Linked DNA regions of Caenorhabditis elegans. The protein of the gene in region 2 interacts with the protein of the main gene of each other region in a pairwise test. Each region holds a gene or a part of one and is shown on either strand. Other genes may lie near its edges.

Evidence for each region.
Region 1: the proteins of mafr-1 (region 2) and Y62H9A.2 interact in a two-hybrid assay, tested with the Caenorhabditis elegans proteins (one large-scale study listed by BioGRID).
Region 3: the proteins of mafr-1 (region 2) and rnr-2 interact in a two-hybrid assay, tested with the Caenorhabditis elegans proteins (one large-scale study listed by BioGRID).
Region 4: the proteins of mafr-1 (region 2) and arf-5 interact in a two-hybrid assay, tested with the Caenorhabditis elegans proteins (one large-scale study listed by BioGRID).

What each region holds. Positions count from the first base shown.
Region 1 is NC_003284.9:11,875,119-11,882,397, forward strand, and holds Y62H9A.2 (uncharacterized protein), read right to left. Parts: upstream 3,092-7,279; 5' UTR 3,079-3,091; coding exon 2,790-3,078; intron 2,709-2,789; coding exon 2,392-2,708; intron 2,348-2,391; coding exon 2,300-2,347; 3' UTR 2,193-2,299; downstream 1-2,192. Other genes in the region: Y62H9A.1 (uncharacterized protein), read left to right, coding at 536-610, 703-1,245, 1,291-1,532, 1,838-2,001, 2,048-2,124; Y62H9A.3 (putative secreted effector protein), read right to left, coding at 4,045-4,324, 4,370-4,424, 4,470-4,719, 4,767-4,826; Y62H9A.4 (DUF4362 domain-containing protein), read left to right, coding at 5,024-5,376, 5,716-5,907, 5,961-6,054; stha-3 (Conserved secreted protein), read right to left, coding at 7,075-7,279.
Region 2 is NC_003279.8:10,621,289-10,628,805, forward strand, and holds mafr-1 (Repressor of RNA polymerase III transcription MAF1), read left to right. Parts: upstream 1-1,884; 5' UTR 1,885-1,889; coding exon 1,890-1,972; intron 1,973-2,022; coding exon 2,023-2,362; intron 2,363-2,411; coding exon 2,412-2,533; intron 2,534-2,584; coding exon 2,585-2,777; 3' UTR 2,778-3,073; downstream 3,074-7,517. Other genes in the region: Laminin subunit alpha lam-3, read left to right, coding at 1-25; arch-1 (Protein archease-like), read left to right, coding at 3,183-3,359, 3,651-3,800, 3,846-3,986; B0511.6 (ATP-dependent RNA helicase), read left to right, coding at 4,107-4,418, 4,467-5,189, 5,693-5,995, 6,255-6,371, 6,491-6,592, 6,858-6,935.
Region 3 is NC_003281.10:4,090,615-4,098,346, reverse strand, and holds rnr-2 (Ribonucleoside-diphosphate reductase small chain), read left to right. Parts: upstream 1-3,425; 5' UTR 3,426-3,458; coding exon 3,459-3,512; intron 3,513-3,628; coding exon 3,629-3,985; intron 3,986-4,039; coding exon 4,040-4,395; intron 4,396-4,453; coding exon 4,454-4,832; 3' UTR 4,833-5,039; downstream 5,040-7,732. Other genes in the region: Guanine nucleotide exchange factor rei-1, read left to right, coding at 219-337, 496-879, 932-1,031, 1,088-1,219; C03C10.7 (uncharacterized protein), read right to left, coding at 1,445-1,601, 1,801-1,910, 1,960-2,180, 2,233-2,302; Putative casein kinase I C03C10.2, read right to left, coding at 5,067-5,270, 5,564-5,827, 6,556-7,095, 7,204-7,221.
Region 4 is NC_003282.8:7,978,539-7,985,863, forward strand, and holds arf-5 (ADP-ribosylation factor), read left to right. Parts: upstream 1-3,987; 5' UTR 3,988-4,006; coding exon 4,007-4,057; intron 4,058-4,107; coding exon 4,108-4,204; intron 4,205-4,331; coding exon 4,332-4,456; intron 4,457-4,504; coding exon 4,505-4,687; intron 4,688-4,849; coding exon 4,850-4,936; 3' UTR 4,937-5,314; downstream 5,315-7,325. Other genes in the region: ora-1 (Onchocerca Related Antigen family), read left to right, coding at 1-137, 194-352; unc-24 (Band 7 domain-containing protein), read left to right, coding at 1,345-1,568, 1,769-1,844, 2,233-2,328, 2,384-2,533, 2,580-2,744, 2,790-3,410; mec-17 (Alpha-tubulin N-acetyltransferase 1), read right to left, coding at 5,476-5,705, 5,779-6,025, 6,067-6,160, 6,960-7,097.

The DNA.
Region 1 (7,279 bases), on a different chromosome or scaffold from region 2:
ACATTTTTTTTGTGAGAAGATTTGAAATAAGTAAGCAAGAAAAATAAACTACAAAGGAAAGTACCTTTCATCATTTTAAAGTTGGAATTTTTCATCTTTTGCACGCGTACTCGAACAGTACACCTGTTTTTGCAACATTTAACATACAATTATTTTGTCTATTTCTGTAGCCATATTATTTATGTTTACTTATTTGATCAAAACGTGCAATATGGTGTAATTCGTTTATCAAATTGAGTTTTCATCAAAACACAAACTTTTGCTCATGCAGCTGAAACGCAGAATGTTGTCTAATCAAATGACTGTATTAAAATACCACATGCTTAATGACGTTTAGATTCAGCTGATCTTTTCATGTGTTTTTTCTTGGAAAAGGTTTTGATTTTTAAATGATGAAAGGTTTTCAGAACATTTTTCACAACTCCAGTGATCAAAAACAAAAGTTCTGTCAAACGGGTTATTATCAGTTAATACCTGCTGGTCAGTCAATTTGGTCGAAACACACCAGATTGTCTCTATTGCGGTTTATACAATCATGTCATCCGATTTTCAACTACCTGGTTTTTATACTTCCATTTCTGTGCAAGAACGTTATTTTGTTTGGTTGCGGGTGAGTTAAAGATGTTCTTGTGGGAAAGGAACCCGATTTTTCCTTTTTCATAATTTGGTGGCCAATAATAATATTAATCACTTTTTTTCCAGCGATATATGGAAATAACATCAGTTCTTAACGTATTTCTGACTGCTTTGACCCTTTATTTAGTAAGAGTTGAAGGGAAAACCTTAAAGCGGGATTACAAGCAAGTTCTTGTTTGCAACCTTATGCTTCCGGTTGTCTTCAGTGTTTATATGGGTTTTGTCTACCAACCGTACATCGTGTTCCCATATCACTTACTTCTCACCGTGGGATTTTTCCGATTTGGGCCGTTCGTCACTGCTCATCTGTTTAATATTTGTTGTACTTTGGCAATCCTGTGTTCGATGAGTTTCCTCTATTCGTTTTGGTTTAACTACTTCACGATTTGCTATAGAATATCACGTCAAAGCTCAACAAAAACAAATTTGATTGGAGTTTGCATTGGTGTTGTATTTACAATAGTAAATTTTGTACTAATGACTATTGGAGTCGATGAACATCAATACGAAGATCGAGATAACTTGTACAAAACTGATAACAGAATTAAGTACTTTTTCAATGAATATTCCATTGCAATTGTAAGAGTCAGTGATAAATGGTCTTTAAAGGTATTGTTCTTCCTTTGAAATTTCAGCGAGCTTTCACATTTTCAGGCATTAAGTGTCGAAGCATTTATTGGAATTTCAATAGTAGTTATCATAATCCCATTGATAACATTCAAATCATATACAACATTGAGCAAAATACACAAAATGATTTCTAAGCAAACACTGATCCAGCTCAAAAACGCTTTGGCAATTAGTCTCTGGTACTTGCTGCAGTTTGGTGTTTTAGTTGGAATTCCAGCTGCAACAGCAATGGCATTATTATTGATGCAATACACACCTTTCGAAGGGTATGAACCATAAACTAAAAAAAGATGATTCAACACGCATGACTAAAACTAAAAAGTTGCAATTAAAAATTAGGGATCTATAGCAACTGTGAATTATTTTCCAAGCTTTCCGGTGAAGCCAAGTACTACAAAAGTAATATGAAAAACACGGAGTATTCTATGTTCTCATCTTCTGAAAAAAATATATGTCAATTAAAGTTAAAAGTATAGTTTGAGAAAAATAATTACAAAGAAAACAAAAATACTTGAAACAAAGGTATTACAAGAAAAATGTAGCCTGCATTTCAACATAATTTTTTTTTCAGTTTTCCATTTGCAATGGTAGTGTTAGCTCCAACTCAACTCACATGTCCAGTTATCTGTATCCTATACTTAATACTTATCAAACCGCTTCGTTATGGTTTTTTTAAACTAGTGGGTCTTCATAAGTATGTTCCAAGAAACCAACCAAAAGCAGTAACGCAAACACGTAAGATTTTTTGGACTAGTGGTTCGGTTGAATCTATATGTTCCAGAATTATCAACGTTCACATCTCACGTTCCATCAAGACCGACAAATAGAGTACCGTATGGTTCTCTAAAACTTTATTAATGTAAACGTTTTAAAGTTATAACGTTTCACTTTAATTCTGAAGTCTATGTAGCAATATAATTATGCTATTAATTGAAAAATTGTTATTCTTCACAAAAATAAAATCACAGAATTTTTAAATAATTAAACCACATGAAATTCAAAGAAGACGGAAGTAAGTTTACATGCACATTTTCTAATGTTTTGTATATGAATTTGCGACCGCACACTTAGTGACTTTTGTCTGTAATTAATCAGTTTAAAGTTTCAAAACTTTTTAAAACTTACTCCACACTCAGAGTTTGCACTTGTCTCTGCCATTTCAGTGAAAGAAAATTGAAATGACTTCTGTAAGTCATGAGCATCCGTCTCTCTTGTCTTTAGTTCTTTTTCCTTCTCTTCTAACATATTTTCGAGGATTTTCGTTTTGTGATAACCACCGTTTGCCATATCAAGAGCTGACATTGTTTTTCCTATAATGCTATCTTCATCCAAATTTCGAATTTCACATAACAGAGCAAGAGTCCGACGTTTGTCGATACTGGGTGGTGAAGAATCAACAATTTCAAACATTTCTTCACGGCGAGTGTAGATTTGAGCAGATTCTAAAAAATGCGAATTAGTTTCAAAATAGATTTGACAATTTTAATATCAGTCAGAAATATATTCTTCATTTATAAACTCACGTTTTAGAGCATAAACAAGGTCCGTTTTGGAACTTCCTCTGCATAAAATATGATCAAGAGACTTTACTCTCTCAATAGTCAATTCACACTCTGCTCGCAACGCTGTCCATTTTTTGGCTTCCCTCTTATCGTACGAAAAATTGTTTTTGAAATCAGAATTCTTATTAACTATTTTTGAGACACTCATTCGTGTATCTTCCATCAGTGAAGGTTTATTATCACTCTTTTGTTGGCCCTGAGTAAGCCGAGGGACTGATGAGTTTTCAAGGAGTGCAGGAAGATTATTCATGATCGCCTGAAAATATTCTTACGGTTCCTTGTTTTCAATCAATTGATCAACTAGGTAGTTTTGTTGAAAAACCGTTGCCAACATCTACTGAAGCCAGCGGGGGATTACTCACACCCAGGAAACAAAATAAATTGTATTTTTTATGAACTTATGTTAGTAGAAAACCGATACTACCGGAAAGACATCTATTTTGAAGGATGAGATTAGTTACAACGGGACACTTTCATAATCGGAAGGGTTGGTTTAACTGAAAGCAAATTTGCAAACAAATAAACATTATGACAACTAATAATTGAAAACAGAAAATGAAGCCCATTGTTGAAAATGAGATTGTTGAAATAAATTATTCATGAAGCTAGAAATTCAAAAATGAAAATTTTCGTTTTTTTTACTGGGAGATTATATCAACAGAAATTGAAAATTGAGTGGGGAAACGGTGGAAAATAGTATATAGAAAATGAATATTTCCATCTTGAGAATTTATAGCTCTGTCCTCCCGGCTCCCTATATTTAATGTGAAAAATGATTGTTTTTAGGAGATTGTTCCATTTTTCTGTAAATGTAATATAAAATTGACACATGGAGAATACCGTATATTATTGAAAAATCTGGGTGAATTTCCTGAAACTTTCTTATTTGTTTTCTGACGGAACGGAATTGATGAAATTATTTGATTCCTTTAGTTGATCATAATATCAATAAGCGCCTTGAAGTTAAAAGAATCTTAGTGAAAAGAGTCTGTCTGTTTTTGAAAAGCAACTCCATTATAAGTATAAACAGATGCGCTTTTATTGTTTGGCTTAGGAATGTACTTTTAAGTAGTTTCAAAAATTAAACGCCGGGTATTTGAGAAACGATTAGCGTTTCATTAACTTTTCCGTTTGTGTTCAAAACTAATTGGTTTTCTTTGAAAGCTCAAATTAACATTTATTTTTCTTCATAATGTATTGTTTAAACTGATAAAGTTTAATGTTGAATGTACGACATAGTATTTCCGTGAAGGCATCCAACTCGACGGAACCTGTGTTTCTTATCATTGGTCAAATCTTTTCCTTCCCATTTGCCTTTAGTTCCATATTTGGCTAAGTAGTCAACGTTGATACCTCCTGTCAACGCTACTGTTCCAGGAACATTAAATGGTAGAATTTCTTTCTTCGAGTCCACCAAAATCCATGTGTATGCTCCTGGAGTTGGATTTCTGGGGCATGAAATGACGGCGTAATGGGTGTTATCATATGTGTAGTATCTAAATTTGAATGTATAATTCTTCTTGCAACTTGGATTTGCTCACCTAACACGGGCTTCAACAATTTTTTCACCACGAAGATCTTTCAATTTTTTGACTTCTGATTGTTTAAACTTTTAAAATGAGAATACAGTTGAGAACTCACCATAGTTGCGTGGTGGATACGATCCCCCATTTTCTGAGTCAGGATATGGTCCTGGGGGGAACGGAGCTGGATATTCTTGTGGAATTGGAACTAGTCGTGAAGCTGGCGGAAGCGGCCAACTATTAGGGAAATTTGGAACTGGGTATGATGCTGGTGGAAGTGGTCCTAGATCCGGCACCGAGTACGTTGGTTTCTTTGTTGGTCTTGGGTAGTCTTCAACTTCAACTTCACCTGAGTAGGACTTCTCGTTCTGTAATCATTAATATAAATATACTTTAAATTGCAATAGTATGTCACAATCTGGTATTCTGCAGAAGCCACAGCAGCAAGTAATACAAGCGAAACAAAATATTTCATCTTGGCAGAGCACCGATGTATGGCTCTCCTCTGTTGAGGACCGTTTTATATTTGGTCTAGATTTCGCATGAATCATATGTTTAGAAAACGTATGATGTGATGTGATCCATATTCCAGATTAAACTTTGTCGACGATTCAACAAAATCGTCTATAAAATCAAGTAGAGGTGACGCACAATTCAGCGAAATTGTTCACTATGTATGCTCTCTTTTTATCTGTGATCGCATGTGCGGTCGTCGTATCTGCGAACCAATACAATGATTATGGTACAATTTCTCACTATCCTGGACATCATTCAAACAATCGATACTCTACTTCTGACTCATCGGATTCTTCTGAGAATGAATTAAAATCAAGATCGAACTCAGATGAGCGTTACCCAGAATATCCAGGTGTATATGCGCCACAACCACCTGCAACGAACTACGGTACCAATGGAAACGAGTATAGACCACCAAACAATGTATATGAACAAAATGAGTATGAACAATGCAAGGAAATCAAACACTTTTCTGTTCATAAGCACAGAACCGCTCGTGCTGACATCAAGTGAGTTATCACAAAAAATACCATAAGTTAGCTTTTTTTCGAATATTTTTGCAAAATGAAACTAACTGATCAACGTTGGAAAAAGTTTTAGAGAAAATAAGACGTTTTAAACATAAAACCCGACAAAATAGAAACATTCACATATTTCGTTCTCAATACTCGTTATAGAAAAAATATACATATTGCATTTACTTTTTCGTTCAATTGTTTCGTGATGTGAGAGCAAAACTAAAGTTTTCGCAAAGTTTGTATAATTAATTATATCACGGGCTAATTTTGTTCTGTTTCATTTTGACTATAAATTATTTTCCAATGGTTCAAAAAGTTGTTTTTTTACAGAACAGTAGAGCGTAAGGGGAAGACCTACAACATTATCGCCTGTCCAAACAGTGGAAAACCATATGCCCTTGTAGCAAAAAAGGAAGGAACAGACGCATCTTTCAAGTTTGAGACAGAATTCGTCATTCAAGACACTATTCTCCTTGCATCGGGATATAATTTCGACTACGTTGCGAAATGCGACGACAAAAAGTGAGCCGTATTAAGTCAACTTGTTGTTTTTATATTCAAAGTCTAAATTTCAGTTTTGTTGGAAAATCATTCAACGACAGAGAAGTAGCAATCCGAAAAGTCACATGCGTTGAACTTCCCGGACCAAGACCATTGACAGGATTTTAATGATTCTGTTTATTTAAATGTTTTACGAGTTTTTGGTTGATAAAGTTTAAAGTCAAATTTGTTACAGAATGTGAAACAAAAAAAAAGTTCAAATTTGGATAATTATGTAAAGAAAATACTTTAACTAAATTTCAATGAGACAATGAAATTCATTCTATGATCATCCAAATATGGAAGAAAAGTAGTGCGATAATTCTTTTCGCATTCGTTAGATTAAAAAGGGTTTTACTTGTACTTTATTGAATGTAAGACAGTTTTTTTTTTCATCCGCTCCTTTAGAACAATTTACTGAATGCACTCTAAAAGTCCTATTGTTTTTTTCACGAGGAAGTGAACTCATCAAATTTGCAAATGTTAGTTTTCCGCAGTTTTTCCATGGAACCAAGTTATGATATTTCTGTTGACTGGACTCCTCTCATAATTGAGGTACCGTTGTACTACATATAAAAGATTTGTTGGCAAATATCAAAAAGCCAACAAATTGCGTGAAATGAGTAGCTTGGTGTGTGTGCAACATAGTGCGAAGAGGTGGTTGTTTGCAAGCGGTCGACACGTTCGGAGGTCCGCGCCTCACTATAAATGCGGCGTGGGTGACGCCGTGAGGCCGTCGCGGCGACCGCATGGGAGCCCTAGTTTATAGAAAAATTTGTAGGACGCGCTTAAGTTTTTAGTTTAAATGAGAAATTTAGAAACTTATAATAAAAAATTATGAATCAACAAACTGCCTAAAATGTATGGCAGTTGCGGTTTTATCGTCAATTTGTCAATTTTCTGGGAATTTTCAGTTTCGGTCATTTAAAATTTTCTTTGCCGCCCACTACTCGAACACATTTTCCTAACAATACAAAAAAAGCTGGAAAAGACAAATATGTTGAATTGTTTATTTTGCTTAACTTAGCTGTCTTTGGTGTTGATTTTTCAATCAAACTCTTTTCGGTGAAATTATCTCACATTCATTCTACACAGGCTCTCGTTGAAGAATTCATTTATTTTTAATGATAAAATAGTATAAAAACTCAATTAAACAGTCAATGATGTTTCAAAAGTACCATGATGACATCCAACACGACGGAACTTTTGCTTGTCACTGTTTGTCATATCGCGGCCGGACCATTTTCCGTGGCGAGAGTATTTAGCAACATATCTCACATTGAGTCCGGCGGCAAGAGCAACAGTTCCATCAATACCAAATGATGGAATTTTTTCATCAGAGTCGGCAAGGATC
Region 2 (7,517 bases):
AAGAAAGCGTAATTCGAAAAATTAAATTTCTATATTTGTAACATTTTCTTCCTGAATTTGAATATGATTCTCAAAAAAGCCCCTTGTTGATTGCCAATTTTAATTTAATTTTTTTCTTCGAATAAACTATTTTAAATTTAAAAAAAAGTGAGTTTGCACATTTTTTGGAACCAGCTTTTGCTGAAAAAAAATGTGTCCCACGATTTTGAACGTCGCTCACTGTATCAATTTTCGAAATTCTTTTCTCTCTACATGAAACAATACTACGTCCATTTCAAGCTCTCAAAATCTAACAGCACAGTTTCAAATTCAAAAACACGAAATGATTGAGAAATAGAGATGCTCTTTTCAGATGGATTACTTTAATTCAATCTCTGCAGCTTTACTTAAACAACGCAGGTAGGAGGCAGATACTGTCGATCAGAGCGGAGCATTGAGCTTCACGTAGCCTGGCTGTCAAATTGTTTCAGTTGTCCATCCATGCACCATGTCTCCTCCGCCGTCGACACAGTAGGGTTTCCAGTCACTTCCAGCTACTTGTTCCAATCCACATCCTGACGTTAATTTCCAATCGATTCAGTTGTACTTCCTGAAATAAACACCAATATGACATTATTTGTAAATGTATTGAGGCAAGCCATCTACAAGCTTATGAGTTTAACAACAAACTTACAAAATAGCTCCCACTTTGGAGTTGTCTTCTTTTTCCTCTGTCTCCTCTATTTATCCTTTGAACGTTTCGTCTTGAGTAGTTTGTCCGGGGGGTTTTTGTGACATATGCCAGTATGAGTATCTGAAAAAAAAGGTTCATACTCTCAATACTCAAAAAGCTGTAAACTTTATGTTTTATAACATTTTAAAACATCAGATTTACACCTCTGACCCGCACTCACTTTAATATTCCGTTTGGTTGAAGTGAACTGGTTTCCAATTCACACACGACTGTAGGTAAATCGGCTCCATCGTCCGAGGTCCACTCGGAGGTTCCTTGCATACTCATATCTTCGTTCACAGCATCGGAATTGTTGAATTGGCATCATCTTCCCATCCTTCTTGGCAGACCATTTGTTGAAAAGTTGAAGACTGAACACTATGACTAAAACTACTTGCTCATATACCAGTCCTTATCAAGATGTACGTGGTCGTTCAAATAAAAATATTTTTTTAAATTGTTTTCCGTATACCGTATATCCTCTATTAGTAAGACGTGCAAAACTAATTTTCGGACACCTAATTTGATGCAAAACTAATAGAGGGTGCAAAACTAATTTTCAAACAGGTTTTTTCTCATGTTTCCCATTAAGTTATAGCAAATATCATCAATTTCAGTAACACCTTATGAACCAAAATGGACTAATTAATTCCACTAAATTCTTGTATTGAATATAAAACTTGTGAATCTCATTGCCTTTTGAAAATTTGATTTGAAACTTGTTAATTTTTTAATCTAAATATTCCTGATTCTGTCATAAATGGTCGTGTTATTTCGTTCTCTAGACCCCTGTGACATCAATTATTTGAAAATCTAGTTTTGACTATAGTTTTTAATTGCAAAACGACTTTCGAAGCGAAATTTAACAAATTTCATTTTACCCCCAAGGTATACGGTAGACAAGTACGCAAACACCAACAACAATATTGCACACATTACACAGAAGTTGCCGACAGTTTGCTAAATCAATGGGATTTTTTTACAGCAGTTTTTCCTTTCTTCACGATAAATCGTTCTGAAAAAGTAATTAAAATTGTTATTTTAGTGTAAAATTTAAAAATTAAATTATTGTTTTCAAAATGCGCGATTTTAAATATTGCAATCTTCATTACGTAGGATTTTTCCGCACTTGAATTCTCCAAATGTTCTCGAAATTTATTGAAAAGCTTTAGAAGCCATGAAGTTTCTGGAAAGCTCCGAAATGGATGTTTTTTCGCAGACACTCGTTACGGGAGCAATCGATTGTGTTATTGATTTCAAGTGAGTCATTTATCTCAATATTAAGAATAAAACAAATCGTTCAATTTCAGATTAGAAACGTATTCGTCGAAAATGGTTACTAGCGAAAAGAAACAATGGAAATCGAACGATAAATCTGTGATATGGGGTGAACGCCAGCCTCTAGGATCTTACGAGGAAATGGTGATGAGTGCATCGCCCAGTGTTGGTCACAATCATCGGCTTCGCCATTTATCGGAACGCTCGTGCTCAGGAGGATCAGACAACGATTTCGACGTGAATGACTACCTGATAAAAGACTCAATTTCGCGAAAGAAATTGTATGATCTGACTCAAGTTCTGAACTGTTCGTTTCCGGATCACGATTTCAGTAATGCCAACAGTGAAGCGTTTGCTCTCGTCAATTATTCGGTTAGTAGCTTCTTACAGCTAAATAACATTAACGCGCATGATTTTTCAGGACCTGAGCCGTCTCGTTGATATGAAGCTTGAGACAATTGTCAGAGACTATCACGTGAGAAGAGAAGAGCTATGGGGAATTATTGATGAGGCAATTGTGCCCGGTGACTGTCAAATATACAGGTATTCCGTTTGATTTGAGAGGATATTTTATATAATTTCCATATTTTTCAGCTTCAAGTCCCAATTCGAAGACGATCCGTTTACCGAAGACGGTTGCATTTGGGCACTTGCCTTCATTTTCTACAACAAAGGACTCAAACGTTTTGTTCTTCTCACAATTCGTTGCCTATCGAAACAAGCCGACACGTCCATCGAAATTTTCCCCGATTTCAGTGAAGACGAGGCGGAACCACAAGAGAAATAGAGTGCAGATTATTCATGTAGAACGCTTAGAATAGACTAATATTCAAGGCGATATAGTATTAGTCTTGCCGGCCAAGCCTCTTTCCCTCTTGTAGTTCTTCTCTTGTAAATAGATTCCATTTCTCATCAATCCTCAACCTCCTCCTTCACCTCTCGAGTTCGCATTTAATTTGCCACTTCCCACACACCTACCGCTAGATTAAAGGAACAAATACTTCGATTCTCATTCCTTTTCGTGGCTCGTAGATATCAATTTTCACAAAAACCGCATCATAAATACATAAAATTGTTTTTTTTAAGTTAATCAAAATCGATTATTTTTTGGTTTCAACCGTTCTGATATTTTAATCAATTTTTCCTCAAATTTATTTGGTTAAGTTCAGTTTAATTTATTTTCAGTGAAATAATGCCGAGCACATCAATGATCGAAGATCGTTCTGAGATCGAACGTCGGCGATTCGAATATCTCGATCATCCGGCAGATATTCAACTTCACTCTTGGGGATCCACAATGGAAGAAGCCTTCGAAGCATGCCTCGTATCAATGTTCGGCTATATGACGGATTTGGCCAAGGTTGATGAGGTAATTTGAAATTGAATTAGATCGCCTCTTGCGCCTTTTAAGAATTTTTCCACTTTCCTCTGTTTTGTCTAATTTTTCTTACTTCACTTGAAATATGCTTATGAACATATGAAATTGCAATTTAAATCGATATCTTGTAGAAATTTTAGCTTTTGTTCGTGTATTCTCTAGTTTTGAAGCTGCTCCCAGAAAAAAGCTCAATTTTTGCCTTCTTGACTTCATTTTCGAACAAAACCCACAATTTCTACAAGAAACTGATTAAAATAAAATTTTAATTTTGCATTATTTCAGATGTACGAATTCTACTGGAAAGCTTCTGGCGATAGCTTAGATGGTCTCCTATTTCAGTTTCTAGACGAAGCGCTCAACTCATTCCACGCTGAACCATGCTTTGTCGCGAAACGGGTTGAAATATTGCGATTTGATAAGAAAAAGTTTGAGGTATTTGATAAAAAGTTTCTGAAAATTAATCTAAATTCTATTCAGATCGAATTCCGAGGATGGGGAGAATCATTTGATACTTCAAAGCATGAAACAGAGGCTGATATCAAGTCTCCAACTTATTCAAACATGCAAATCAACGAGAAGCCGGAGAGATGCGATATCTATGTCATTGTTGACATTTGATTTTTATTTTACAACTTCTTTTTCACCTTTTCTCGCTTAATTCCTTTGTGATTTGCTTCCGATTATCGTGTCTTTTCCCTTCTGGTTGCTCATAAAATTTGTTAATTTTGCAGGTAAAAAATGGGCATTGACGTCAAGAAGAAGGTGCTCAAGCGAAAGCTGAAACAGATGAAGGATGGACATGAGAAGAAAAAGGCTAAGGAGGTTGTAGTTGAAGAACCAATGGAGGAAGAAGATGAGGAGGAAGTGGAAGAGGAGCAAAAGCATCAAACGGAGGAGTCAAGTGAAACCAAAGTGTCTGAGTTCTTGACGAAGACTACATTTGCATCGCTTGAAGGAAAAGTTAACGCGAATTTGCTGAAAGCCGTACAAGGATTGGGATTCACTACAATGACAGAAATTCAGGCAAAGAGTATTGATCCGTTGTTGGAGGTAGACTTTATAACTTTTTTCTTTTTTTAATAAGTTTCAATTTCTCAGGGAAAAGACGTATTGGCATCAGCAAAAACTGGTTCTGGAAAGACGCTTGCCTTCCTGCTCCCTGCTATCGAACTTCTTCACAAACTCAACTGGAAACAACACAATGGAACTGGTGTCATCATTGTGTCTCCAACTCGTGAATTGTCGATGCAAACTTATGGAGTTTTGTCCGAACTTCTTGAAGGATCCAATTTGACGTATGGATTAGTGATGGGTGGTTCGAATAGAAGTGCAGAGAAGGATAAGCTTGCGAAGGGAGTTTCGATTTTGGTGGCCACTCCTGGACGACTTTTGGATCATCTTCAGAATACTGACAACTTTTTAGTCCGCAACATGAAGTGTTTGATTATTGATGAAGCTGATAGAATTTTGGATATCGGATTCGAGATAGAAATGCAACAAGTTCTCCGTCATCTTCCAAAACAACGGCAGTCAATGCTCTTCTCGGCAACTCACTCTCCAAAAGTTGATGAGCTCGTGAAATTGGCTCTTCACTCGAATCCAGTTCGCGTTTCTGTACACGAAAAGGCCGAAGAGGCAACAGTTGAAGGATTACAGCAGGGTTATATTGTTGCTCCATCTGATAAGCGTCTACTTCTTTTGTTCACATTCTTGAAGAAGAACAAGACGAAAAAAGTGATGGTATTCTTCTCATCGTGCAATTCAGTCAAATTCCATCATGAGCTTCTCAACTACATTGACATTCCGTGCATGTCTATTCATGTAAGGATTTTAAACGATTATTTTATGAACACTTTTATCAAAGATCGCAAAATGAATCTTTTGAGACGGCTTCACATATCCTTAAAATTGTTAATGGCGGTTCGAAATTTCAAAAATAAAGCCTATTTTAGCTAAAATCTGAAATTCCGACAACTTGACAAAGTCACAACTCGCGGAAATGTTTTTTATTTAATTGTCACAGTTTAGTGCATAATTTGGTAATTTATTGCACGTTGTTTCGTTCATTGGAGTAATTTTTAGTCGATGGGGGCAAACAAAGACCGGAAATGAACGAAAAACGAGTAATATACTATCAAAGTTGGCAATAAAGGGTGATAATTGAATAAAAACAGGTGCTGTGGAGAAATTGAGATTTTTGCTTAAAATGATTTTTTTAAACAGAAATTTTGAACCGCTATAAAAAGTTTAATGGAGATTTGAAGACGTCTAATAGAGAAATATCTTAAATTTCCCTCAACTAGTAATATAATTAATTTTTGCAGGGAAAACAAAAGCAACAGAAAAGAACAACGACATTCTTCCAATTCTGTCAAGCTGAAACAGGCATCCTTTTGTGTACAGACGTGGCAGCTCGTGGACTCGACATTCCAGCAGTTGATTGGATTGTACAATATGATCCAACTGATGAGCCAAGAGAATATATTCATCGTGTCGGACGTACAGCACGTGGAACAAATGGAAGTGGAAAGGCTCTTCTCGTTTTGAGACCTGAAGAACTTGGATTCTTGCGTTATTTGAAGGCCGCTAAAGTCACGTTGAACGAATTCGAATTCTCATGGAGCAAGGTATGCACTTTCAATAGGCGACGTGTTCTTTGAATCAAAAGTTTTTTTTTAATAAAAAACCGGTAAATGATCCTTTGATAAGAAGGTCACACACCCAAGTGCAAGTGAAATAAGATCCAAAGATTAAAACTTTAGGTATACAGGAAGTGAATGAAATCATTAAAAAGCAGAATTCAAAGATGAATGATCAATAAAAAATTTATTTCCGGAAGTGAATTTGCAAAATTTGAAAATAACACTTGAACTTCTCAATTTTCAGGTTGCAAACATTCAATCCCAACTCGAGAATCTCATCAGCAAAAACTACTACCTGAACAAATCAGCGAAGGAGGCATACAAGTGCTACTTGAGAGCGTATGATTCTCATTCATTGAAGGTAATTCACAAAGTGCAAATGATGACATATGAGACTAATTGTCATGGAGTTTCAAGATGTCCGGCTACGAAATACTTGAAAGTATACACACTTCCTACGTAAAATCCCTTTTTTTGCAGGACATCTTCGATGTGACCAACATGGACTTGACTGCAGTGTCGAAATCATTCGGATTCTCTGTTCCACCGTTTGTTGATCTTCCGATCAGCAATAAGCCAAAGGTATAACTGAAGGAAGTGGAAAGAAAACAAAGAATTACCAATAGGAAATTTTACAAAATGCAAATTGTTTTTTGATTGATCGAAAAGTTTGGAACTTGTACAAAAAATGCCAGAAATTTTTCAGTTTTGGAAAATAAATTTTTGTAGCGGTTTTTCAAATATATTTCTGATCAATCCAATATTTTACACTAACTTTCAATAAAAAAATATTGGAACGGCCTGCAGAATTTCCTAGCCTCATTTTTCTTACAAATCCTTATTCCAGGTTGAGATCCGTTCAAAACTATCCGGAGCTGGCTACCGCAAGAAGAAGCAGTCATTCACATTCAAGGCGAAGAAGTGATGTGTGTTCCGCCTCCAATTATTGTTATATCATTGTTTTCTTTTTCTTTTACTGTTGTCTTTTATTGTTATTCCTACAACCACTTCTCCATCCAACTTTATGTCCCAACAATTATTTGTTCTTTTTCTTGCTGTTATTCCCTCATAAACTGTTTCAGAACCGTGTGTGCTTTTCGTTTCGCTTCAGTAGAAGATGCAGCAATAGGGAAAAAAGCGAAAGCTTCTCGGTCTCGTTTTCACCTTTCCCCTACACCAACACAAAAAAGTGGAGAGACAAGATATCAGAAATGTGAAGAAGGAGGCGAATGAGATATCATCTAAAATGTCATATGTATATATGAATATATATGTAAAGTTGTTGCGCAACTGTCATTTCAACAACGACTTCTTCTTCTTTTTCAGATGTCACTGGCCTTCCTGTTCCCTCTCTTTTCATGATTTCATGTCATTTGTGGTGACCCCGCCCACATCTCCTCCCACTCCTTCCACTTTTTTGCAATTAGGACGCCTACGGGAACTCACGCTGTATAAAAACAGTTGAATTCGAAAAAAATTACCTGAAAATTTGAAATCTCCGCCCTCT
Region 3 (7,732 bases), on a different chromosome or scaffold from region 2:
TGTAAGTCGAATTGATAATTTCTGAAAAACTCCCGCCATTAATTTCAAATTACGATCTGCAAACACCATCACGTAAAAATGCACAGTTTTGCCTCACGTTAAAATTTGCAAATTTAATTTTAAAAAATTTATTTTCTCATCTTTTCTCCTCATATTCTCTTCATTTCTAGTAATTTTCGTTCGAACAATTCGATTTCAGAATCAATAAAACATTAAAAATGACGGAAGGGGACGATCAATTAATATCGATTCGCAAACAACTTGAAAATTTAAATAATGCAACAGATGACATCAACAGTTATGAGATGAAGTTGGAAACTGTCAAGAAACAGTTTTGGTGAGTTTTAATTCATTTTTTATTTTAAAATAATTGCTTAATCGCTACACGTCTAAAACTGGAAACCTTTTATTGCACTAGTCATTCTTAACCAATTAATTCGCAAAAAATCGTACCAAATCTGGTTTTGATGCTAAAATAATCTTATATATTTTCAGTGAAACCCAACTAATGTTCAACAAAGAAATGCTTGGAATCCCTAAAAAGTTGGCCAAACACATATCAAAATCCCGTCAATTTTTCGATTTGAAAAGCCGCGAATCGGAAATCAGAAGATGTGTTCAACAAGCGGCAGCTCAATTTGAACGACAAAAAACTTCAGTTGAAATGGCAAGAGAACAAGTGCAAATACTGCATAATTCATTGAATAACAATCAAGAATTGGATGCAGAGAAACAATATGTTGATGTGATTGAGCAACAGTTGGAATTGGTTAAAGAAGCTGAGGGAGAATGTTTAAAAGCTGAAAAGTGTCATGCATCACGTGTCAGGGATTTGTTACAGTTGGAAATGGCTTTAAGGAAATGTTTAGAGGAAAATGGGTGAGTTTCAGGCATCAGGCAATTTTCTGACAATATATTTTCCGAATTTCAGATCTGCCATCAAAAAATCCCGGCCCTATTACGAACGAAAAGAAGTTCTGACGCGAACAATGAATTCTCAACTTGAGTTAATGTCAATTTTGGAGCATGAAGTAAGAACTAATAAGAATAAAACTGTATATAGATTAAAATAATTTTTAATTTCCAGGTACAAGAACGAAAAGACAGCTACAGTGATTCGATGCGAGCTTTAGAGCAGATCAGCGATCAAATTCATCAGGAGCGTTCCTCGCAAAGCAGTTTGGCTCCTTCGAGTGATGCAGAATCCGACAGCTCTTGATACTCTGAGCCACACCCTTTCTTCTCAATTTTCCACGTGTAATATTAGATTTTTCACGAAGTTTCGAAATCTCGATCTCACTTGTACTCACGTTCCACACCCAATCAACTTCACCAAAAATGTATTTTTACGGGTTTCAATCCCCTTTCTCTTTGCTCCTCATTTTCTCTATGTATCTCTTTATTTTGTGTTCGTCTGGTGCTTAATAACAATTTTCTTGAAACATTAAAAATTGTGATAATGAGAAGACGATGAAGTGCCCACAAAAGCATCTACGTGTGCACACGCTGCACTTCTTGTCGGAGCACTGGATTTATCAAGCAATCGTGAAGCCAATGTGCATAGCTCACAAAGAGTGGATGCCCTTGTCGCTGGTGGCAATCTGAGGGTGAAATAGATTGTTGAAAAATTGTAATTTTTTGAAATTTTGAGACGTTAAAAAAAATCGAAATTTCGTTGACTTGCAACTTGCGCGTCATATATAGTGTCAAGTACGCATACACCGCGACGGTAGAATGCACAAAATTGTCAATTTCAAAATTTTCATGATTTTTCTTTTATTTAACAATTCAATTTCTCACCTGCTAACCGAAGCGGGTCTTCTTTCTTCTGGAATAATTGGAATTTCTTCATCAGAATCCCATTTAAAATACTGAAAATTGTTCACACGCCGGCCAAGCTTTGGAATGCTCTAAAAATATTTGTGTCATATTATTGTTTCACTTAATTGAAGAGATTACAGGCATTTCTATATCATTCCGATTATTGCTCAATTCCCTAATAACCAACAATTCATGAGTTTCTCTACGAATTTCTTCATCTCTCTTCCTCTGTTCCTTCGCTTTTTCCTCTTCTTCAATACGACGTTTTACCTCTTTCTTCGCCTCTTCCCGCTTCTCATTTCTTCTAATCAGTTCTTCAATTTCACTTGATTGTTGTGGTTTAGGTGGCTTGAGTGGTTCTGGGAGAATTTTCAGGCACCTATGACAATATTTCTCAGACTCTAAACCTACTTGGCTTCCTTAAATGCGGACGTAGATCATCCTCGGACAGAGTTACAGAAAATCGACGATCTGACGCCATAATTTGATGTAAAGTAAAAATGGAGAAGCTTTTTTGTCTGGTTTGCTGGTTTCCAATGGAAACTCTCCGTACATTTTTCAATAAAACGTGGATCTAAAGCTACTAGGCAACCACCAAAATATTGTAGAATTTGAATTTCCGCCATAATTGGTTGGTCTCATCACGATATTCATCCAAATTTATGGCCCAAAACCTAAAGATAGTTTTCCAGTATTTCAATAGGCTTCGTTCCCGTCAAAAATAAGTTTTTCGAGAAAATACAAAATATTTTGTTGCGAAACTATAGTTAGGAGGTTATATTCTTTACCGTTTTTCCGCCAGACACTAAATCTTTATCAGTCGGACAATATTCATCAGACCTGTAAATTTTCTCTGTGTCTCCGTCATTTCTTTCAAAACGCGCGCCAAAATTTGAATTCGAACAATTGGCGCGAAACCTCTATTGCGCCCGCTGATTTCGTTCATTCACTCATTTCATTTCTCATTCGCTTCGTCTTGTGTGCACTGGAAGTGCACTCATTTGTCTTTTTCTTGTTAAATCTTTTCAATCACCATTTTTAATTAAATAACTTTAGGTTTTTGAAATTGAATAGCTGCTTTCCGGCTTTTCAACACATTTATAGATTCTTTTTCAATATATAAATTGAATGTTTTTCCAACAAAAAAAAATCGTTCGGTCACTCCATTGGTCACTTTTTTATCAGTAAGCCTCGCAAAAACAATATATTTTTGATAAGGAATTCATTCAAAATTCAGTGCAAGAGCCCTATTCTAATTTCTCACCCATTTATTTGCATCATCTGCTCCCATCATTGACCATGCCTACGTCACAATTGACCTCCTGCCGGCATACGATTTTCCGTGCAAAACTGAACACAGGACCGTCTGTGACGTCAGCATTTCCCGCCCTTCACCCATAGTTCACCATGACGTCAAAAGCTCCGCCTTCGTTAAAACCTTTGGTGCTGGTCATTCCTTGTCTCAGTCTGTCACAGTCGCCGGTCCTAGGTGGTGACTTGTGTGACCTGAATAGTGTTCAGCTGGCCATTTTTAATGTTTCCTCTTCTCTATCAATTGTTTTCTTCATTTGCACACTATTTTCATTTTATTTTAAACTTTTCAGGATCGCAAGCACTATCCGCGTATATCTACTAAAATGACCCTCACCGAGATTCAGAATGTCGAGAAGGAGAACGCAGGAGCATCAGTGGTAAGTATTTAGTGTAAAGTCCGCGAAGAGGCGCGAAATCTGGTGCTTTTGCACAAAATGTGCACAATTCTACGACTTTTCCAGTATACTCATTACGTATGCCTTCGAATTTACAGCCGAAACACTCATCGAACAAGCTGAAGTTGGAGAAAGAACTGGAGAAATTGGAGATTGTCGATCAGACCAAGGCTGCTTCAGCTGAGGAAACAAATAATGAGTCGGAGGTGAATGAGCTGGATGCCGACGAGCCGATGCTTCAAGATTTGGATAATCGATTCGTCATCTTCCCACTGAAACATCATGACATCTGGAACTTCTACAAAAAGGCAGTTGCATCATTCTGGACAGTCGAAGAAGTCGATCTTGGAAAGGATATGAACGATTGGGAGAAGATGAATGGTGACGAGCAATACTTCATTTCTCGGATCCTTGCCTTCTTTGCCGCATCGGACGGAATTGTCAATGAGAACTTGGTATGTTTTATTTGATATCTCAATAATGATTCAAATTAACGATTAAATTTTCAGTGCGAACGATTCTCGAACGAAGTTCAAGTCTCAGAAGCACGGTTTTTCTACGGATTCCAGATTGCCATTGAGAACATTCATTCAGAGATGTACTCGAAGCTGATTGAGACTTATATTCGTGATGAGACGGAACGAAACACTCTTTTCAACGCCGTTGATGAGTTCGAGTTCATCAAGAAGAAGGCTGACTGGGCTCTTCGCTGGATTTCGGACAAGAAGGCTTCGTTCGCTGAAAGACTCATTGCTTTCGCAGCTGTTGAGGGAATCTTCTTCAGTGGATCATTCGCTTCGATCTTCTGGCTGAAGAAGCGTGGATTGATGCCAGGATTGACACATTCCAATGAGCTCATCTCGAGGTAATTATTATTATTACGAGATTTAAATAATTTTAATGTAATTTGATAATTTTTGCAGAGACGAAGGACTTCATCGTGATTTCGCCTGTCTTCTCTACTCAAAGCTTCAAAAGAAACTCACTCAACAACGCATCTACGATATCATCAAGGACGCTGTGGCCATCGAACAAGAATTCCTGACTGAGGCACTTCCAGTTGACATGATTGGCATGAACTGTCGTCTTATGTCACAGTACATCGAGTTTGTCGCCGATCATTTGCTCGTCGAGCTCGGTTGTGACAAGCTTTACAAGTCGAAGAATCCATTCGACTTCATGGAGAATATCTCGATCGACGGAAAGACTAACTTCTTCGAGAAGCGGGTTTCCGAGTATCAACGTCCTGGAGTGATGGTGAATGAAGCCGAGAGACAGTTCGATCTTGAGGCTGACTTCTAAAGAAAATATTTCCAAATTTCTATTTCTAACCTCATGTTTTCCTTCCTTTCATGTTTTTCAACCTCACCCCATTTCTCACATTCACTTTGTTTCTGTTACGATCTCGTGTAATTGATCGAAAGCACTTGTACCAATTTCTATGAATCGCTTATCTTGACTGAAAAGATGTTTGAAACTTTTTATCATTAAAAATGAAAAATTGTGATTTCACTTCATTCATAATTCATTCAGAGTTCAAATATTCAATGTCGTCTTGTATCCATCCTCCCAATCATACGGTTCGAGCAGTGATTTCGGGCTGTATAAACATTTCAGACATTCCAGCAGTTTTTCATACGGTAGTTCAACAACGGGGTCACATTCCAAAATCATCTTATGAAAGTCGACTAGGATGCTCGCAATGTCCTTGAACATCTCTCCATTCTTGGTAACCTCGTTCTGAAATCGGAAAATTTTGTGATTTATGACACAAGAATACGGTACCGGGTCTTGAAACGACCGAAAAATTTGTTAACGATGATTGTGGAAGGATGCATGCGCCTTTAAAGAGTACAGTAGTTTAATTTTTAATTCAAAAATCATTTTCTTTTTGGAAAAGTGAATAAAAATGCGACAATTGAAAAAAAGTGTACTGTATTCCTTGAAGGCGTACACTCTTATTTGCAGCTACCGTAAGAAACAATTTTCATGAAGACTTTTGAAATAAAAATTGTACGATTTGCACCACATACCATCAACTTTTTGACCCCATGAATCTCATGAATATCCTCCAAATATCTCCACGGGAGCTCTCCAACGACTAGCTCATATGCCGTATACAAGACTGAGAATGCATCATCCCATGGTGTCTGCTCCAGCTTCTCGTGTACACGAACCGATACATAACGTTCTGTTCCTTTGAATCCGGCATTTATTCTCCATGGAATGCATACACCGGATTCGGTTTTGAAGCGTCGGACGAGTCCGAAATCAAGAAGATAGAGGATGTGACGATTCTGAAATTACTTTTCTGGATGTGGTTAAACGCATTGCGTCGGTGTTTTTTATCCTGGCGCTAAATTTTTGCAAGCAGGCCGCACGCTTTTGTGAAAAAGTATGACAACTGAACTGTTTTTTCGCTGATTTTTTTTGTATGTAACGTTCTGAAGAGACAAACCAATTTGAGCCGGCTCTGCCACAGCCTTAAGCTTTTCCATGAAGCAAATAACAAATCTTCTCAGTTCGGTGCAAATCCATTAATAATCACAACCTCTAGATATTATACGCGGCTTCTAAGGCCTCGACAGGTGCACTACAGCTGGTGCAACGGCGTACCAACTCTTAATTAGGAGGATTAGGAGGCGGGGTGTAGGTATAGAAATAGGTATAGTGCCTGTTTACAGCTGAAGCCTCTCATTTTCTATCGAATTGTCTCTCTAGGGCGGCTGCTGGCAAAAATAAGGTGAGTTTCTGGTATAATCTTTTCAAAATTTTCCCTCTGTTAAACTCTAAATTCTATTAATTTTTCGAACTGAAAAGTTCGAAGAGCAAATAAGAAAAGTTTGAGGGAAAAATTAGGAATTGAACTTTCATTCGAACTCTAGATATAGACTAAAAGCAAACTACTGTGCAGGCACACCAAGGCCTGCCTGCCTGCAAGGCGATCTACGCCGGTCTCATGCCTATCTGTGCACTGTAAAAGTACAGACAGGCACTGATGTCGCGTTGAAGGCACCTAACTCACCTGAGCATGTACACCAAAACAAATATTTGCTGGTTTAACATCTCTATGAACATATCCCATATCATGAATATCTTTCAATGCATTCAATGTCTGATAAGCAATTCTTCCAACTGTCTCTTTACTCAATCTTCCCAATGGACTTCGTTTCCGAAAGTCTCCAACATTCATACTAAGCAACTGCATTATAATAAAATTGAATTGATCATTGAATCCAGATGCATACATTGTTGGAATATGAGTTTTCCCTTGCATTTTCATCAAAACTTGTTGCTCCATTATCATCCGCTTCGTAATCACTTCTGCTCGTAGTTTTGGTTCTATTTTCATTGCTCTTTCATCATTCTTTTTAACATCCATCACCATAAATATCTGTCCATAACCTCCATTTCCAATCACACCTTCTATGGACCAACGATTCATGAAAATTGATCCAGGAGCCACGTGGAGCTTTTTGATGCGTCTTTCTGCCAACTCTTTTGCGGAAAACTTTTTTGGAAGGATGTCCAGATTCGGGAAAATTTGAGTAATGTCGGTTTCAGCCTGGAAACATGTTTTGTTATTGCCTGCCTACGTGCCTGCCTACCGCCTATTTTCGAGGCAGTCGTAGGTCACCTTCATGACTGAAACAGGTACCGAGCGTTAACTTACTTCTTTTGATTTATTCATTGTTAGTGAAATTTTTCGAATTTCGGAGATTCGGCCGGCAATCGGAATCGATACTTTTAAAAATGATTACATTTGGTTTTAAAAAAACTCAGAAAAAAAACCCTCGCGTGAATAAACAAATTTGAGTTTTTCGCCACTTTAACTTCACTTTAAATTTAAAAAAAATTAAATCTGAAAACTTCTGTAGTCTGTGACGTCACACCTCCTCGTGGTACGGTAGGAGTACGGTACTACTGTAGTTAAATTTTCCAAATATTATGGCGTGGATGGTAGACACATGCCTCATGTCTGCCTTTCTGTATGCATAAAAATGGACTTTGACATTTGACACGAGGCATACATAGGTTGCCTTGAAGGTAGGCAGGATATTTTGTACCTACATGGAAGGCTTACTGTAATAGTATTAAACGTTCTTGTCAAAAATAACAAAAATTGCTTTAAAGGTTGTCACCCATTTGGAAACTGAATAGTACTTTCTTACTGTAGTGCCAAGAGCACGGTAGTTATTTAT
Region 4 (7,325 bases), on a different chromosome or scaffold from region 2:
ATAAGTCAATCCCATTCAGTGAGAAGCCAGAGAAGATTGATGCTCTCGCTCAAGAAGTTCTTACTGGAGATAACTTGAAGAAATTCCAAGAATTCAAAGAGAAAAAGGAGAAGGAAATGCAAGAGTACAAAGACAAGGTAAGAATAAAAAAAAAGATTTTTACTCAAAAGGATGTTGAATATCATTCTTTCAGGAATCGAAGCTCTCCGCAGCTGCCAAGGTAGCCAACGAGAAGCTTGAAGCTCTCGGAAAACAAAAGTTTGCAATCCTCGAAGAACTTGATGAGAACGTGAAGGATGAGCTTTTCGATTTGTGGAAGAGCCGTCCTCATGGACCACCAAGACATCACTAGACGATAATTTGACAGCGATTTTTGTAAATATCTATGACAGAATTTTATTCATTCCCGATTTCCCGATCACTTTTAATTTATATTGAAAAATACATATATTTAAGATTGAATAATAAAGATTTCTATAAAAACTTTTGTGTACAAATAATAATTGGTTCCCAAATCTAAAGATGGAATAGTAAAGATATTATTAAAATATACGTAAATTGGGCGAAAAACATTCTGAATTTTTAAATTTTCAAATGTTTAAAACATGGTTTTGATAAATTTCCAAATTTTCCAAAGTGTTTGAATTTTTGAGCTAAAACTCAAGAATTGCTCCAAACTTAAACCTACAATGTGTAAATACAAATTTCAAAAAAGCTACTTTTTTTGGTCGACTTCCAAAACGTTGGCAGGTACAACTGAGTTTCTACCATATTCAGACTGTGAAATAATTTCAATTTTTGAAAAGTTTTACTATGATATTTGTTCATTTTAGCACGATAGGAGTGGTTTTAAAGTTTTCCCCACCGCGCGGTGCACCGCCAATACTTTACCTTGAGAATTTAATTAAAATGTAAAACTCGTAGAACATACTTGTTGACTTCCAAAACTATAATAGATTAAAACTGTGTGCATACACTTTTTCATGTAAATAAAACACTACCGCCTACCTTTAAAAAAATTTAAATTACAAAGTCTTCAATTTTGACTTCAACAATTTCCAACCTAACCCCTAAATTTTCTCATCGTATTCTTGGTTTGTAATGTGTGACAGACACCCTACCATTATCTGTGTATGAGTCTTTTGGGACACTCTTCTATCCAATGTCATCCGTCCTCTCAAATGCAAAAATAAATGCATTTGTGCTCACGGAGCCAAAGAATCGATGTGTGGTCCCGGACGCCAGAGACGCAGACATTCGAAACGACTAAAGCAGATGCTCAGTGTTAGAGCTCTTCGTCTCTTTCTCACACAACTACTTCATCTTTCTCTTGCTCCATTCAATATGACGTTCTCTTCTTCGTACAAATATTCGGCGCTGGCGCAAAACGATCCAGAGGCACCAGAAGAATTAGAAATGAACAGTCTTGAAGGATATTCTGCAGTCGATTTTGGTGATCCAAGTCAAAGTGTAATGGAATATGGAATGCCTGAAGGTTCATATGATTCCGTTTTTACATATGCTCCTTACAACGATCTCGATAAAATGGGATATATGGGTCCAGCAAGGTAATTTTTCAACAAAAAAACTAATTAACTTTGATATAGATGAAAAATTAAAATTTTCCAATGTTATCTTTCAGTTAAAATGGAATTAAAGTTTTATTAAATATTTTAAGAATTATAATTTAGCGATTAACTTAATTTTCATAAAAGTGTTTTACAACATGCATATGAACAATAAGAATCACTATTCAATAATTTTTCAGGCAAGGAATGATGCTGGGAAATAAATACGGAAACTTCACATACACAAGAGATTATGGTGTTAATATGGAAGACGATGTGAGTTTTTATTTAATAAATTAAATTTTGGTTTTCTTTATCAAAACTTAATGTGAAATTGAGCCATTTAGGAAATTATTTGATAGTAAAACTTTGAATTGGTTTTTTTGAAATATTTTTATTTTCAGTAAATAAAAAAGTTGAAATTACTCGGTTGTTGAAATTCGCCAAAAAATGTTCTACAATTACTATGATTTTTTTCCATCTGAGCATTGTAGGCATTTGAACAAGCAACAGTACTCTAAATTTCTTAAAAAGCATACATTTTTTGCAGATTTTGGCAAAATAGAAACCTTAACAAAAATGGAAATATCTAAACTAATTGAAACACACACGAGACAATTTAATTAAAATATACTTATGATATCTTAAACATGTTTTTTTTCAGATAAAACCCCTGAGCGCCATTGAACTGTTGATCTTCTGTGTTTCATTTTTGTTTGTTGTGATGACAATGCCCTTATCATTGCTTTTCGCGTTAAAGGTAGTAATTATAATTTTCTAGAGAACCGTTTCTCAAAATTTGCTTAATTTTTCAGTTCATCTCTACCAGTGAGAAATTGGTAGTTTTACGCCTGGGAAGAGCTCAGAAGACAAGAGGACCTGGTATAACTTTAGTTATTCCATGTATAGATACAACACATAAAGTAACAATGTCTATTACTGCGTTCAATGTCCCACCACTCCAGGTTAGCCTTGACAATATTTTGTCTAAAAAAAAATTTTAATTTACAGATAATAACCACAGATCGTGGTCTCGTGGAACTCGGGGCAACTGTTTTTCTAAAAATTAGAGATCCAATTGCAGCTGTTTGTGGAGTTCAAGATAGAAATGCATCAGTTCGAACATTGGCAAATACAATGCTATACAGATATATCAGCAAGAAACGGATCTGTGATGTAACCAGCTCACAAGATCGAAGAATAATTTCTGCTAATTTGAAGGATGAGCTGGGATCATTTACGTGTCAATTCGGAGTTGAAATCACTGACGTGGAAATTTCCGATGTGAAAATTGTGAAGGAAGGAGAGAACATGGGGATGTCTGCGTTGAGCAGCGTTGCGAAATCCGATGCTGGTCAACAGTTGTGGCAAGTTATTGGACCAGTATTCGAAGACTTTGCAAAGGAATGTGCAGCTGAAGAGAAAGCAAAAGAAAATGCACCATTAGTTGATTTGTCGGATGTTCCCTCAACTTCAGCTGCGGGAACTTCTACAGATACACCAAATATTCCTTCCATTGATATCGACCATCTTATATCTGTGGCAAGCCTAGCTATGGATGAACACTTAGTCCGTCTAATTGGCAGAGTTTTCCAAATTAATTGCAAAGATATTGAGCCCATTTGCATTGATTTGAAACATGGATCTGGAAGTGCGTATAAAGGAACTTCCTTAAATCCTGACGTGGTTTTTGAAACGAGTTTGGAAGTATTTGGAAAAATTCTAACAAAGGAAGTATCTCCAGTCACTGTATATATGAACGGAAACTTAAAAGTGAAAGGAAGTATTCAGGACGCAATGCAGCTAAAACACTTGGTGGAGCGAATGTCAGATTGGCTTTAAGAAAATATACTCATTTTCTGTTCTCTTTTTTCTCTTTAATAAATGTTTTTTTTTTAATTTAAAGATTTACACTATATTTTCTTGTCTTTCAGATATTATTTTGTACAGGAATGTTTTGTTTTTAAAGTAATATTATCTAAAATACATCCAGTCACTTAAAATTGTACAAAACAGGCTTTTGTGCGACGAATAAGCGGCCAAATCGAGAGATCTCATCGAGAAATAAATGCATTCTTCAAGGGAGGGCGCGTTTTCTGGCTGACGGGTCTCGCCACGATCGACTAATCGAAATTACACGTGTGTGGCTGGCTGGACGACATCCAGCAAATCGACGTTGCTATTGCCGATTTTTACCAAATTTTCTGGATTTTCATCATTATTAATAAATTTTCAAAATATTTAATGTTTGAAATGGATATATTTCTTGTAAAAAAGCTTTAAAATGGCTATAAAGACGAACAAAATAATTGTTTTTTGAATGAACGTGTCACATGCTTTGGAGTGTTATGTATTTTTCTTTTACTATCGTTTTTTTTAAATTCTAACTGGAAATTTGTTTTAAATTATATAATTTCAGGTGTTGAATCAGCTCCATTATGGGTTTAACAATCTCCTCCCTCTTCAATCGCCTTTTTGGCAAGAGACAGGTATGTTTTTGTAATGCTTAATCTCACAGTTTTAATGTGTTAATTTTAAGGTTCGTATATTGATGGTCGGACTCGATGCTGCCGGAAAAACTACGATCCTCTACAAACTCAAGCTTGGAGAGATCGTCACCACGATCCCAACTATCGGTAAGTATTTCAGGAAAATATTTGCATTTTTCGAATCAATGGTTATTGCAAAAGAGTCGCAAGTTCTATAATATGTGTGTTTTTCAGTATTTCATAATTCGTAAAAATTAATAATCTGATATTACAGGATTCAATGTTGAAACTGTTGAATACAAGAACATTTCCTTCACTGTGTGGGATGTCGGAGGTCAGGACAAGATCCGTCCACTCTGGAGGCACTATTTCCAAAACACACAAGGACTTATCTTCGTCGTAAGTATTCGAATCGATTTATAAATCTAAAATATTTTAAAAATTAAGGTTGACTCGAACGACAAGGAGCGTATTGAAGAATCACGTGAAGAGCTACATAAGATGCTGAACGAGGACGAACTTCGTGACGCTACTCTTCTCGTTTTCGCCAACAAGCAGGATCTTCCAAATGCTATGACCGCCGCCGAATTGACCGACAAGCTTGGACTTCACAATCTCCGCTCAAGACAGGTGAGTGGTATTCGAGATTCCGTTCTCTGTTTAGTCTTATCTGCATAGACGATCAAAATTTGAAACCGGACAAGCGTATTAATCTGATCGAATAAAAGATTGTCCACTCACGGAATAAATAAAATTGTTTCCAAATTTATAATGTAAATGAAAAATTTTCAGTGGTACATCCAAGCTACATGTGCAACTCAAGGACATGGACTCTACGAAGGACTTGACTGGCTATCCAACCAGCTTTCCAAGACCTAATTGCACAACTTACATGTCCAAATTCCCTTCTCCTCCAAAATGTGTAAATCCCTTTCCCCCATTAAAATATTCTTAACCAACAGCCACAATAATCCACGCAGCCGTTTTAATTTTGTTAAATAGAATTTGATTGTTTGATGGCACTGGGAGCTTCTATTTTCTGTGTGTTATTGGTACCCATCTCTCTCTCTCTCTCCGTCCCCCCAACTTCAAATCGGCCCGAGCCCTGTCCTAATTTATGTGATATTTGGCCGTCTTTTTTGGTCAAACTCTCCGAAACCACCACTGTGAACTAGTCGGAGAGCAATCGATGGCTGGTCCACTTCATCGCAACAGTTTAATTTATTTGAGGGTGTTGATGAATAATATTTTATAAAAACATGTAAGTGTGGTGGATGTTCATTTTTATTTATCGGAAAGAACGCTAAGTTTAATAAATTTCGAATTCCAAAAAAAGCATGAGAGCGAGATTAAACAGATGGCACAAAATTGCATAAAGTAATTAAAAGCTGAAAATAACTTCAATGTCCACATCCGAATCACCACAATGGCTTGCTCGACAGAATGTGAGCTTTTCTTGCCTTGGCCTGATGAGCTCTATTGCTCAAAGCACCTTGTGGTGTCATGTCAGCATCCACCGGAGCAGCCATTGCATTTCCCTTGCTCTGATGACCACTAACAGCGTGTTGAAGCCAACGGGTATCAGTCATTCCAGTTCCCAATCGACGTGGAGTCATTGGACGACGCCAACCATCTGGTGGAGGTTTTTCTGAAACGTCCAATAGTTTAATTTCAGTGAAGTTAGAATTTTTGTGGTCAAAATACTATTCTACTAAAATTACCGATTCCATTTTCAGCCGACAAAGCTAGGAAGAGCTCCTCGAAAACAACGAAATTGGTATTCTGCCATACAGGCTTGATAAGTCCGTACTTTTGTGACATAAAACCAAGAAGAGTGACTGATGGATTATCAAGAGCCAATTGATAAGGTTCAGTGTGTTCCTGAGAGAACATGTAATCTAGAATTTGTTGTCCAACTCCTTGGCGTTGACATGAGAAGTGAACATAAAAGTCCAGAAGACACAGAATCTGAAAAGTAAGAGGTCGAATGAAATGATAATTCAATTCACCTCTCCCTCATAAGTCTGCATTTGAGAGTCATAAAGGAATAACTTCTTTCTTCCTACTTTCGCGAATCCCATGAGTCGACTAACCTTCTCTTCTCTGAAAAATCAAAATTTCCAATTTCCAAAAAATATTAATACAGCGTTTCGATAAAAGGCGCCTATTATGTATCAAATATTACATTACTAGGTCGATCAATGGATCTAATGGTAGGTAGTATTATTATAAGGATTATTACGTGGACGTCTAAAAATTATAATTTTTATCATATCTTACGCTCATGGGTCTCGCCACGCTGAGAACGAGGGACTGTAATTCGTGTCTATTTATTATGATTGCATTAAAATTTCAAAATGAAAAGTGCTGCCAAGATTTTAAAAAAGAATATGATACAACCAGCCGTGGACCGCACCTTCGGCGCGGCCCCCGACTTCTGGAGCTGAAAACAAATTTTTCTGAAACTACCGTAATCATACAGTACTCCTACCGTACCACTATTGTACCACTACAGTACCCCGACTATATCCTTACACTAACCCCAACTCACCATCCCTCCAGAAGCTAAAACTTCGCAGACTACAAAGACTACATAGACTACAAACTATGGGCAAACGGAATAAGCGATTTATATATAGTAAATGATAGTGGGATTACAGTAGCTCGTTGTCAGCATGGCAGTCCCATGCACGTAAGATAGGGCGAAAATTCGTATTTTTTGACGTCTAGATAATAATAAAATACCCAATATCTCTTCATAATTCTACAGTACTCCATACGATGACCACAGTATCATCGCGACGAGAAAATATATGTCTGACAGTATTCCGTATTATTCATTCGATAATGATTGAGTAATATTGTGAAAAACTGAAGTATATGAATAAGAATATTAACTTACTCATCATATTTCCAAGAGAGATATAAAGTTGAATCGGAGTTGATAAGCTTCTCACAAGTTGTCAAAGGAGTACGAAGCTGAAGGCAATGAGCTGAGAGTTTAGCAAGATTATCGATTGCTTCATAGACAATTGGATCCCTGAAATATTTTTGATGAATTTATTTTTAAAAAATTATATTCGGACCATTTTAAGTGACACTTCATATTTGTTCTGGTAAGATCATCCTTCTAATCTCACAGAACCCCAAAAAGCTCAAATCTAGCTTCTCTTTAAATTCCAATTATCTTCAGATTATAGTTAGTTCAACTCGATTCAGCAAAATTGCCAAAAATAATAATCTAGATTTAGTTGAAAGTTCAATCCCC